2 linked regions of the Arabidopsis thaliana genome follow. The protein of the gene in region 2 interacts with the protein of the main gene of each other region in a pairwise test. Each region holds a gene or a part of one and is shown on either strand. Other genes may lie near its edges.

Region 1 (5,233 bases), on a different chromosome or scaffold from region 2:
GCGTGTCTACGATTTCTAAAGGGGTTTGTCCACAGAAATCATGCCTTTTTTGATCCACGCAACTCACTCTCAAAAATCCATCGCGTGTCTTATTTTTTTTGGTTTTCTTCTCTAAACCAAATTAAACCGAACCGAGATCAATTTGAATTTCAAAACCAATGTAAACCCATCAAACCCATCGCTGTGAAAACAAAAAGCTCGGCCACTGTAACAACAAAAATGGAGACGACACAACTTGGAAGAGAAATCAACTCTAAATAGCCAAGAGAATGTTCGAAAACCCCCTCAAATCCGATGCTTCCTTTGATTCCAACCTCCAAAAGCCCATCTGCTCAAATCTTCATTTCGAGGATGAGGACTCGAGGAGTATTACAAGGTACCTCAATAGAATCAATGGCTTCCATGGATTTTGAAACTTTACTTCTAATAAACACCATTGTAATGTCTTGTTGTGAAGTTGTGTAAGGAACAAAGGATAGTGAAAGCTGAAGAGTGGGATTCGTTTATGGAGTTTCAGAGTTTTTTTTGACTAAGTGGCCTCTGTTTTTGATTCTTCAGTGGTCAATTTTGTGATGGGATTTGATTGAAATTGGAGAATGATTTCATGAAATCTCTTCGGGCTGAGGTTGATTCATGACTCTTTCATTTTTCTAGTGTCTCATTGATGATAGACATAAGAAGCATACTTAAGGCCATAGAGAGTGGTGAATTGGAGGCAATCAAGCCTTTGCCTTGGTACCCTAAGAATCTTTCTTTTCACGGAAGGAGATTAGAAAAAACCAGATACTTGAGAGGTACATTTTCATGCCAGTTGCTTCAGAACAAGTATTCACTTCCATTCCCTTACTTGTGTTAGTTCAGCGCTTGAGAAATATTATGATCTTGTTTCAGACTTTCAGCTGTCAAGAGACAAGGCCCGTTTTACTATCAGGTTAAAATCATGGTCAGCTTCTTGTCCCAAACCACATTGTTGCAAGGTTTTGTAATAAATCTTGGCTCGATAATGCATTCAGAAACTTCTTCTACTCATATCTCAAAATATGTTTTGAATTCTAAACCCCATGGTTATCAATATAAAGAATATTAGTATCTATTTTTCTCTTTTCTGGTGTGGTTGCAATTTATCGTTTGTCTCTTTCGTGGAAACCCTTAATTCAGGCGGTATTAAGTCTTTCTCATAAAACTTTCTAAGTCAAACCAAAATTCCAATCGAAATTCTCAGCATGAAAGTCTCGAACACGTTTACATTTCTTACGCACCCAAAGACTCTTGCTTCTTGCACACGTCTCTCTTGGCTGTCCTTTACCATAACGAATTTGATGAGATTGTTTCAAAATAAAATGTTTCTTTTTGACAAGTCTGGGATTTTAATGTAATTATCAATAGTCATGCACATTATACAACATTTAAAAGAATACGGGGGTTGTTTTGCAATTTTCAGTAGTTATACACATTTATCCGTAATCACTCTGCTCAAGAAGCTTCTCCTCTTGTGTGATTCTCCTGCAATCGCTGGTGATGATTCCTCTAACTCTTTCGTCGCCGTCTCTGAATCGGCTCGTTTTATCCACATCACGTTACTCACACTCTCTATTTCTCAGCAATTTCAATTCGCTCTCTCTGATCCACCGGAAATTACCGTATAAACCTCTTTTTGGCGCAAGGTGTCATGCTAGTAGCAGCAGCAGCAGCTCTTCCTCCTTCACGGCAAAGTCTTCCAAAGAGATTCGTAAAGCTCAAACCAAAGTAGTTGTCGACGAGAAGCTTAGCTCGATCCGGCGACTGTTTTCGGAGCCGGGTGTTGGAATCGACGCTTATATCATACCTTCACAAGATGCACATCAGGTTCTCTTTTTTTAAACCTCTTCTTAACTCGTGATTACGAATTGAATAGGAAGTTCTAGTAGATTCAAAACTGTTCAATTGTGTGTGTTTTTAAGTCAATTATTGGTCCAAGTGGGCAAGTTTGACTATAGAAAGGAGTAGGTAGAAGTCTACTAGAGAGCTGCAAATTTGTGTTTTGTTTTCTATTTTTCTCTCTCTCTAAATAGAGACGTAGAAGCCATAGCTATCATAACCTGTTACTTACAAAACAAACAAAATGATTCCAAGCCAATCTAATTCCTTTTCTGGTAGTGTTATTACCTTGTATTTCTTCCTCCTGGGTTCCCTTGTTCTACGCACTCTTGCTTCTTCTAGGCTTCACTATTGCCGCCATGACCAAAGGGATGCTCTTCTCGAGTTCAAACACGAGTTTCCGGTAAGTGAATCGAAGCCAAGTCCATCGTTGAGTTCATGGAACAAGACTAGTGATTGCTGTTTTTGGGAGGGTGTCACGTGCGATGATGAATCTGGCGAGGTGGTTTCACTTGACCTTAGTTATGTCCTTCTCAACAACTCTTTGAAACCAACTAGTGGTCTTTTCAAACTCCAACAACTCCAGAACCTGACTCTCAGTGATTGCCATCTCTATGGAGAGGTTACTTCTTCACTAGGAAACCTTTCTCGTCTCACGCATCTTGACCTTTCGAGTAATCAGCTGACAGGTGAAGTTCTGGCTTCGGTCAGTAAGCTAAACCAACTTAGAGACCTTTTACTTTCCGAAAACAGTTTTAGTGGTAACATTCCTACTTCATTTACCAATTTAACGAAGCTTTCTAGTTTAGACATCTCTAGCAATCAGTTCACATTGGAAAATTTCTCTTTCATACTACCAAATTTAACCAGCTTGTCCTCCTTAAACGTTGCCTCTAATCACTTTAAATCCACGCTTCCATCTGATATGAGTGGACTCCACAACTTGAAATATTTTGATGTGCGTGAGAATTCATTTGTCGGGACTTTTCCTACATCCTTATTCACGATTCCTTCGTTACAAATTGTTTATTTGGAAGGAAACCAGTTCATGGGACCTATAAAGTTTGGGAATATATCTTCATCTTCTAGGCTTTGGGATCTAAACCTTGCTGATAACAAATTCGATGGGCCAATCCCTGAATATATATCTGAAATTCACAGTCTCATAGTACTAGATCTTAGCCACAACAACTTAGTTGGGCCAATCCCCACTTCTATATCAAAGTTGGTCAACCTTCAGCATCTTAGTCTTTCAAACAATACCTTGGAAGGCGAAGTGCCAGGTTGCTTATGGGGATTGATGACAGTGACACTTTCCCACAATTCTTTCAACAGTTTTGGAAAGTCATCATCCGGAGCTTTGGATGGAGAATCAATGCAGGAGTTGGATCTTGGTTCGAATTCACTTGGAGGACCTTTTCCCCATTGGATCTGCAAGCAAAGGTTCTTAAAGTACTTAGACTTGTCCAACAATCTCTTCAACGGCTCAATTCCTCCTTGTTTGAAAAATTCCACTTATTGGCTTAAAGGGCTAGTTCTGCGTAACAACAGCTTCAGCGGATTTCTCCCAGACGTATTTGTCAATGCTAGCATGTTATTATCACTTGACGTTAGCTACAACCGGTTGGAGGGAAAACTTCCAAAATCCCTGATCAATTGCACTGGTATGGAACTTCTGAATGTGGGAAGCAACATAATCAAGGACACTTTTCCATCCTGGTTGGTTTCTTTGCCATCATTACGTGTCCTCATCCTCAGATCTAATGCATTCTATGGGTCGTTATATTATGACCACATATCTTTTGGGTTTCAACATTTGAGACTCATTGATATATCACAGAATGGCTTCAGTGGAACTTTGTCACCTTTATATTTCTCCAATTGGCGTGAGATGGTGACATCTGTCTTAGAAGAAAACGGCTCTAATATAGGTACAGAGGATTGGTACATGGGCGAGAAAGGGCCCGAGTTCAGCCATAGTAATTCGATGACTATGATATATAAAGGAGTAGAAACGGACTTCTTGCGGATCCCATATTTCTTCAGAGCCATTGACTTTTCTGGAAACAGATTTTTTGGGAATATACCTGAATCCGTTGGTTTGTTGAAGGAATTGCGTCTTCTCAATTTGTCAGGTAACTCATTCACAAGCAATATCCCTCAGTCATTGGCAAATTTGACAAATCTTGAGACATTGGACCTATCCCGGAATCAGCTATCAGGTCACATCCCTCGAGATCTTGGTAGCCTCTCTTTTCTGTCGACCATGAATTTCTCCCATAACCTTCTCGAAGGTCCAGTTCCACTAGGCACTCAGTTTCAAAGCCAACATTGTTCTACATTCATGGACAACCTCAGACTCTACGGTCTTGAGAAAATCTGTGGAAAAGCTCATGCCCCGAGTTCTACACCACTAGAATCCGAGGAATTTTCGGAACCAGAAGAACAAGTGATTAACTGGATAGCAGCGGCAATAGCCTACGGACCTGGTGTGTTTTGTGGATTAGTTATTGGACATATCTTCTTTACTGCACACAAACACGAGTGGTTCATGGAAAAATTCCATCGAAACAAGCGCAGAGTAGTCACCACAAGTGCTCGTTGAACACCATCACCTCTCACAATTTCTCTGAGTGATTGTGAAACGTATATGTTTGTTATGATATCTGTCAGTTGTGTTATGCATAAACTCTTTGTCTTTGTAATTTTCTACTTTATGGTATTGTAAGAAACGGCTTTGGTGGTATCTGATCTTCTATATGTTGGGTTGAAAATGCATTCAGATTTTTCTTCCTAGTCAAATCTCAACTTGTCATAAGAGGATGTTTCAATTGTAGAGCCAAATGGAAGTTCTTCTTCTTCTAAATCACAGTATGAAATTCTCCAACTCGTGTTTTATTTCATTCTCCCCAAAGTTTCTTGCTCCGCTCACACGTCAATCTTGCTGTCCCTGAGTATACCAAATTCGATTTGGAGATTCAAGATAAAAAATAAATATGATTTGGACCAGTGCGGGGGTTGTTATGCATCTATGCAATTGTTTTTGCCATTTTGATATGGGTAATGTGTTGTTTCGGTGAATTTTACATACTAGGAGCTTAAGATCTACTTTCATAACTGATGTTGCCTGTAATATATTTCTGTGCCATTAGGAAAGTCACAAATTTATGTTTTACTTCTAAATGTATCCATAAACTGCCTGAGTTTTTCATGGCTTGAGTGTGATTTTTCTCCATATTTTGTACTAGAGCGAGTTCATCGCAGAGTGCTATGCCAGGAGGGCTTATATATCAGGATTTACTGGAAGTGCTGGTACCGCTGTTGTCACCAAGGATAAGGCAGCTCTATGGACAGATGGCCGCTATTTTCTTCAGGT
Region 2 (6,223 bases):
AAGATAGTGTAGCGAGAGCTGCGTTTGGTGGTGGAGATTCTTTGCACCACAGGCGCAAAAGAACATCCACCAAGAGTGTTGTTGGATCAGCCTCCCCTAGCGTTCACCACCGAGGCCACATTGCAAAAGGACGTGGATCCAAAAACAGAAGCCAACGTCAACTAAGAAAAACTTCAGCTGCAGGGACGCCATCACATTGAATTGTTCTTTTTGTTTGAATCTCATGAATTGGCCAATGCAAATTGCAAAGCCATCTCCATTCTTTGATTTTATAATTCAGCATCTTTTCTAACGCTTATGTTTCCGGTTCGGTTTCAATTCTGGTTTACTGTCTTTTTACTTTTTAGTTGATCCGGTTCTCGGAAACATGTAAAACCGAATAACACTTTCCGGTTTAACTCAATTTTGGAGATTTTTCATATAATCAATTTCAAAAAGAATCGTAACTAATCTCGGGTTAATTCCGGTACGGTACAATGTTGGGTAAGTATCTCGGATTCGGTGAACAAACAGAGAAACTCAGTGAAAATTTACTAAAAAGCTTTGAACTTATTTCATAAACATCTTCACAAATATTGAATCATATTCTTTTTTCGCTGTATAATAAGAGTTGTTATAGAACCAAAGTTGTAAAGAAAAAAAAAATCTAGATTCTGTAAAATGGGAACTCACGGAACCAGATAAAGAAATTTCACCGGCGGTCTTACGTCCCCGGCGGGATATATATTTCATCTCTTCCTCCTTTCTTCCCCGTATCGCCAACACAAGTTGGATGATTTGATTCCAAAATGTGAGGCATTGGAACAAAAAAATTAAAAAAGTGGAGAAAAACCTGTGTCTATGTTCTTCTTCTTCTTCAGATTGATTGTCGCTTGGTGAATGGTTTTTGGCAGATGAGAAGTCTTTGTTCACTGCTGCTTTCAACCTCTATTACTCGAGCTTCCCACTTCAACTGCGTTATCGTCTCTCTCGCCTTTTCCACCAGCTGTGCCGTGTCACGGATTATCACCCATCCCTGTACAAAGTTTTGTTTATTATAGCTACCAGAATACAAGAAACAATAATGTTCTTTACAAAGTAAACAAATGTGTACCTCTGGACGAAGCAATCGGTCAATCTCTGTGAATATATCAATAAGTAGACATGTTTTTCGGGGCTGACTTGTCTGAAGCGACAAGAGATTGTCTGCATGTACCAGGTCATATGTTCTCGGGTAAGTCGGGAATGGTTCACACCTGAAGAAAAAGAGATGTTCAGAAACACTTCTATGGCTAAAATGAAAATCCAATAAGGCTTTTGAACTGACCAGTTGTGCAAAACTCCGACAAAGCCACGGTCAAGTATCATGGGGAGGTGGTTAGGTCCAGCTGTAGGGACCACATTCATGACCCAGACTGATTTTCTTGCTTCCAACAAGGCGGAATTGAGACCACCGAATTGAGCATTCATATCCAGTACGTTTCTGAGCATGTTATAAGGCGGTGATGGATCTTCATCGCCGGGTCTTTTTGGATGATCAGAGAATATCAGAGGAGACAAGAGAGACCAGTATTCTCTCACTGTTATCTTCCAGTTCTCAGCATCCTCTCCAAGCACCTCGGGGTGAAGACCTAAACCAACCCCAGGAATCAAAATGAGATAACAAAAACTGCAGACATATGGATTCAGAAGCAATTTGTTACTACGGAGACTAACCATATAATGAAAGTTCAGTCTTGTTCATGTTAGACCGGCTAGGCCATCTTGTCCTGCCTTCAATGGGAATCCACCTCCGGCTACGTGTTCCACCTATACACATCTGAAGCGGCCTGTAATAAGGAGACTCAACATCGTGCCCTTTGGTACACACAGAAGGGCCCACTCCAGGTTTCCTGTTTATAGGCAAAGCATCCATTTTTAGAGGACTTGATAAATAACCATAAATGTATCCATATGCAGATTCTGTAATACAACAGTGGTGTGTGTGAATCACTGACCGGGAACTATAACATTTGGTGTTGATAGTCTTTTTCCAGACAACTGTCTCATCTTGCTGATTTAAAAGAGTCCAACAGATGCTTTCAGCAAAATCATGAACAAAGTTCCATCTTTTAAGATGATCCTTGTTACGAGGGTTTGTGAGCGGAGATGTCCATACAAAGTAACCACCGGGCTTGAGAACCCTGTCAATTTCTACAAGGAGAAGCCCATCTACACAGCAGATTGAAACAGTAAAGTTGGATCTTCCATCGGGTTAAGGACATGAAAAAAATCATTCTGGGGTGTCATTAAACTGTTACCTTTCTGGTCCCAATCAATGCCACATCTTAAGCAATGCAACATATCAAAGGAAAGAGAAGGATATGGCAATTGCTTTGATATAAAAGAGCCAATCATTGCAGGAAGACCCCTTTCGAGTGTTAGCTGAACTTGGCTACCCGAAGCTTCGTAGTTTGCTATGCACATAGTTAAAATCTGTTTGGACAATAGATGTGCCCCAAAGCTACCATAACCACATCCAATATCCAAGATAGTTCTCACCTGAAACAGTATTAAAAGGAAAATAGCAAATAAGAAACTGAACTAATGAGATAGATAAAGATTGACTCTTTCGAATGTGTGTGTGACTTACACCAGCTTCTATGAAGTTATCCTTCTTAATCCCGATCATTTCAGCGATCTGATGGGAATAGTCTTCAACCTCATCAGACATAGGAGATGCTGACCTGAAAGATATCTGATCATCTTCCATCATCATCATCCTGGAAAAAAATGCATCATTAGCAATGGAACCAGTCAACTTTAGCAAGAGAGAAGCAACGATTCATCACCTCTTGGTTATGCTACCAGAAGACACAACTTCTTGAGCAGTAATCTTAACATTAGAATGCCAGATTATATCTTTACCAGTCGGCCACCTAAGAGGGACTCGATATTTCACCGGTGGCAACTCTAAACATTCTTGCTTTGATCCAGGCCCACAAAACCGATCATTTTCATCACCATTGGAGTAACCCAGAGCAAGATTCTCAGAAACATTAAAGCAAGGGACAAAATTCTCAGATTCTATATTACAATATTCAAGCTCCTTCCACCTATTAGGACCAAGAGAAATCTCCCCAATATCCCATAAGTCTGAAACAAGCTGCTCCTGTAACCTCCTATAATTGTGATATACATGACCTCTGGAAGAAGTCGAAATGGAAATAGTCCACCAGAAAGAACCAGCAAGAGCAATAACCACAATAAGAACCAAACTGATCTTGAGAAACAACAACATCAATCTATGCCTGCTTCTTGCACTATATGGATCAGCAGAAAAACCGTTTTCGCCACCACCACCGTGTTTGGAAGAAGATTGATTACTAAAGAGGAAACCAAAAGGAAACCTTAAGGTTAAGTTGTTGTTCTCAGTAGAACGAGCTCTTTCAGTTTTGTCTTTCATTTGAGAGTCTCTCAAATCATCACTGCTATCAGAAACTCGTACTCCAGAGATGCCACGTTGTAGTGGCATTGACATTTTTTTGTTGCTGCTATAAATCTAAGATCCCTGTAAATAAAAAACAAGTCCATCAGATTATAAAAATTTAAGCTTTGAGATCTCTGAAACTCGAGATCACGCGTTTGTAAACAAATTCGAACAAAACAAGTAAAAAGACTCAATTTTTACATAAGCAGATCCACAAATTCTGAGGAGAGACGAAATTGGTAAACTCGTGGAAATCGAAATCGAACGAAAACCCAGAAAAATTGGACAAAAAACCCCAACAACCCTTAAATTAATCAAGCGAATAAACACCAAATCGAATCAAAATCAAGAAGATGAATAAGAGTGAGGAAAAGAAGCAAAAATCGTACTTTTCTACGCTGCTCTGTATATATATATATACAAACGATTATAAATCTGGAGATTTCCCTCAGCAAAAAGTTGATGGAATATTGGAGAATACTAATCAGATTGTGTCTTCTTCAATTTCTCCGAGAGCTATCACTCTCACTCTCTCTCTCTTTATCTCTATCTCTCTCTGTATATCAAGAGAGTTGAAGCTGGAACAGTGGGAGAGAGTGAAGAAGCAGGCGTCGTGCAGATTTTGTATGGATCCAATCTCGACACAGCTCGTGAGACACTGAATTATTTAAACCAAAACAAACAAAAAATGAATTAAGAAACACTTCCGTTGGCTTTGGTATATAAACAAAAGAAAGAGAGTAAATTAGTTGAGATGCCTAAGCGTATTTAAGGGGGGAGAACGAAGAGAAGCTTCCCATGGGTACATGTCTAATTAGTACTATCTACTGCTAATTACTAGTACTATAATCGTATTAACTTCACGCTCTGTTTTCTTTCTACTTTTTAATGTTTTTTACCTCTCTTTCTGTCTCTTTCTTCTTCCCATAAAAAAATATATGAAATCTTGGCGGTGCATAAAAACAAACATTTATTTCTTTTAATTAAGTTCACTAATTGGTCGACTGAAAAATTAGAAGATGCTTTATAGTAGTAGTTGACCAAAAATATTAGAAGATGTTCAATAATAGTATTTTGACATTTATAGAATTAATGAACCGGTTGAAAAAATGTGTTAGGTCAAACATGAGATTTCCTAAAGGTTATTTTGTCGATAGTAAATGATTTTTTTTTACGGGGACTGTTTTTTTTTTATGTAGAAAAGTTAATGATCTTTTTTAAGGTAGATGTATCGAGCTTGTTTTATAGCGTCAATGGAATTTATATAAACATCATAAAGTTTAGTGGAAACAAAACATCATGATTATGACCAAAAGAATCATGAATATAGAAGGTACAATATGGGTGTTTTGGATGCAGATCTGAATGTGTAAAAATGTTGACTTTGTAGTTTATTCATCAAATTTTGAACTGTTTAAAGGAGGACAAAAAACACATGATCAAATTCCATGAGAAAAAAATGGTCGGTTTAGGCCAAGTTCCTCTCGCAAGAAAACGAGTGATCGTCCCCTAATTGGAATAAGACGAGTTTCTTCACAAATGTCCTCGATTTGGTTTTGTTTTTTTTACACTCATCGATTTGGTTAATTTATCTTCTTATCCATAGACTAATGTTTTTGCGAAAAAGATATTTCTAAGAATCACGATCATTTATTACCAAACGCATTATTAGGAGACCAGTTGCCCACTTGTACACGCCAACCACGATAAGGTTAAAATTGTGTCAATACGAGGCAAATTTTGTACTTTTAAATATCCCACTCACGATAAGATTTTCTACTTTTATTTGATCTTCAAAATCTGTATTTTATGGTAAATTTGGTAAATTTCATTTGATTTTTTCTTATATTCCGTATGATATAAGTCGAGTGAGTCACTGAGTTGTTTTGTTTCACAGCTCATGCATATTTATTTAGTGGATTTATAAATCTGCATGTACCTAAATATATAAAGTGTAAGAGGGTGGTGAAATATTTGCAATTTTGTTTTATATGTTTGTACTCATCAAATAAAAAAGATACTACGGATGATTTGACATAGCATCATCACATAAAAACAACGTACGAACATAAAAGCCACGTAAAATATATGTTATTGTAATAATGTAATATAGAATAAGCCACAATATATGAAGATTGGATGATTGATGTAACACAAAATTAGCCATGTTATATTGTTATTATCGACTATATATACGCAATAGAAAACTATTCCGCATAGCGTTTGTCCTTAGCCTTCACTTTGAAGAGAAATTAAAAACAAAACAACTCCAAAACATTGTTACTATCTGTTTCAATGATTCTCGAAATTGATTCATTATTTCCTTTTTTTCTGCTTGATAATTATTTTTGACAAGTAAAGGGAAAATGTTTGTAAAAGTGCTATCGCCAACGATTAATTATCAATTAAATTCTTTGATAGAGAAGGGATCAGGTTGCTCCAGAAATTTCCAATATGCAAACAGACACAAGGTACCATTCAGCATTTATAATATATTGTGTTTTGGGAAATGTATGATTAATCACAAAACAAACAAACGAAGAGATAACGAAACATACAGTTAACCTATAAAACTTCAAACTTAAACAAAACTAATAATACCGTGGTATTTTTGCGTAAAATGTCATATATGTCATCATTCAAAACTGAACTGGTAGTTTATTCAAACGGGTTACACCGATATATATAACCACTTTTAGCTAAATAAATGCAAAATAAACAAGTAGGTTTCTTAATTAATCAGCCAAAAAAATCAGAAGTTAATTAATTACACAA

What was found. The genes of interacting proteins can lie anywhere in the genome.
Region 1: the proteins of TSD2 (region 2) and RLP30 interact in a protein complementation assay, tested with the Arabidopsis thaliana proteins (one large-scale study listed by BioGRID).

The regions. Positions count from the first base shown.
Region 1 is NC_003074.8:1,530,129-1,535,361, reverse strand, and holds RLP30 (receptor like protein 30), read left to right. Parts: upstream 1-2,000; 5' UTR 2,001-2,101; coding exon 2,102-4,462; 3' UTR 4,463-4,694; downstream 4,695-5,233. Other genes in the region: AT3G05365 (uncharacterized protein), read left to right, coding at 270-376, 655-794, 892-986; AT3G05350 (Metallopeptidase M24 family protein), read left to right, coding at 1,519-1,845, 5,106-5,231. UniProt on the Arabidopsis thaliana protein: Receptor for microbe-associated molecular patterns (MAMPs) that induces a BAK1-dependent basal immune response to necrotrophic fungi (e.g.
Region 2 is NC_003070.9:29,432,317-29,438,539, forward strand, and holds TSD2 (S-adenosyl-L-methionine-dependent methyltransferases superfamily protein), read right to left. Parts: upstream 4,359-6,223; 5' UTR 3,838-4,358; intron 3,530-3,837; 5' UTR 3,500-3,529; coding exon 2,811-3,499; intron 2,742-2,810; coding exon 2,612-2,741; intron 2,521-2,611; coding exon 2,280-2,520; intron 2,191-2,279; coding exon 1,977-2,190; intron 1,872-1,976; coding exon 1,696-1,871; intron 1,611-1,695; coding exon 1,307-1,610; intron 1,236-1,306; coding exon 1,094-1,235; intron 1,016-1,093; coding exon 857-1,015; 3' UTR 513-856; downstream 1-512. Other genes in the region: AT1G78230 (Outer arm dynein light chain 1 protein), read left to right, coding at 1-200. UniProt on the Arabidopsis thaliana protein: May be involved in the synthesis of homogalacturonan. Required for normal cell adhesion and plant development.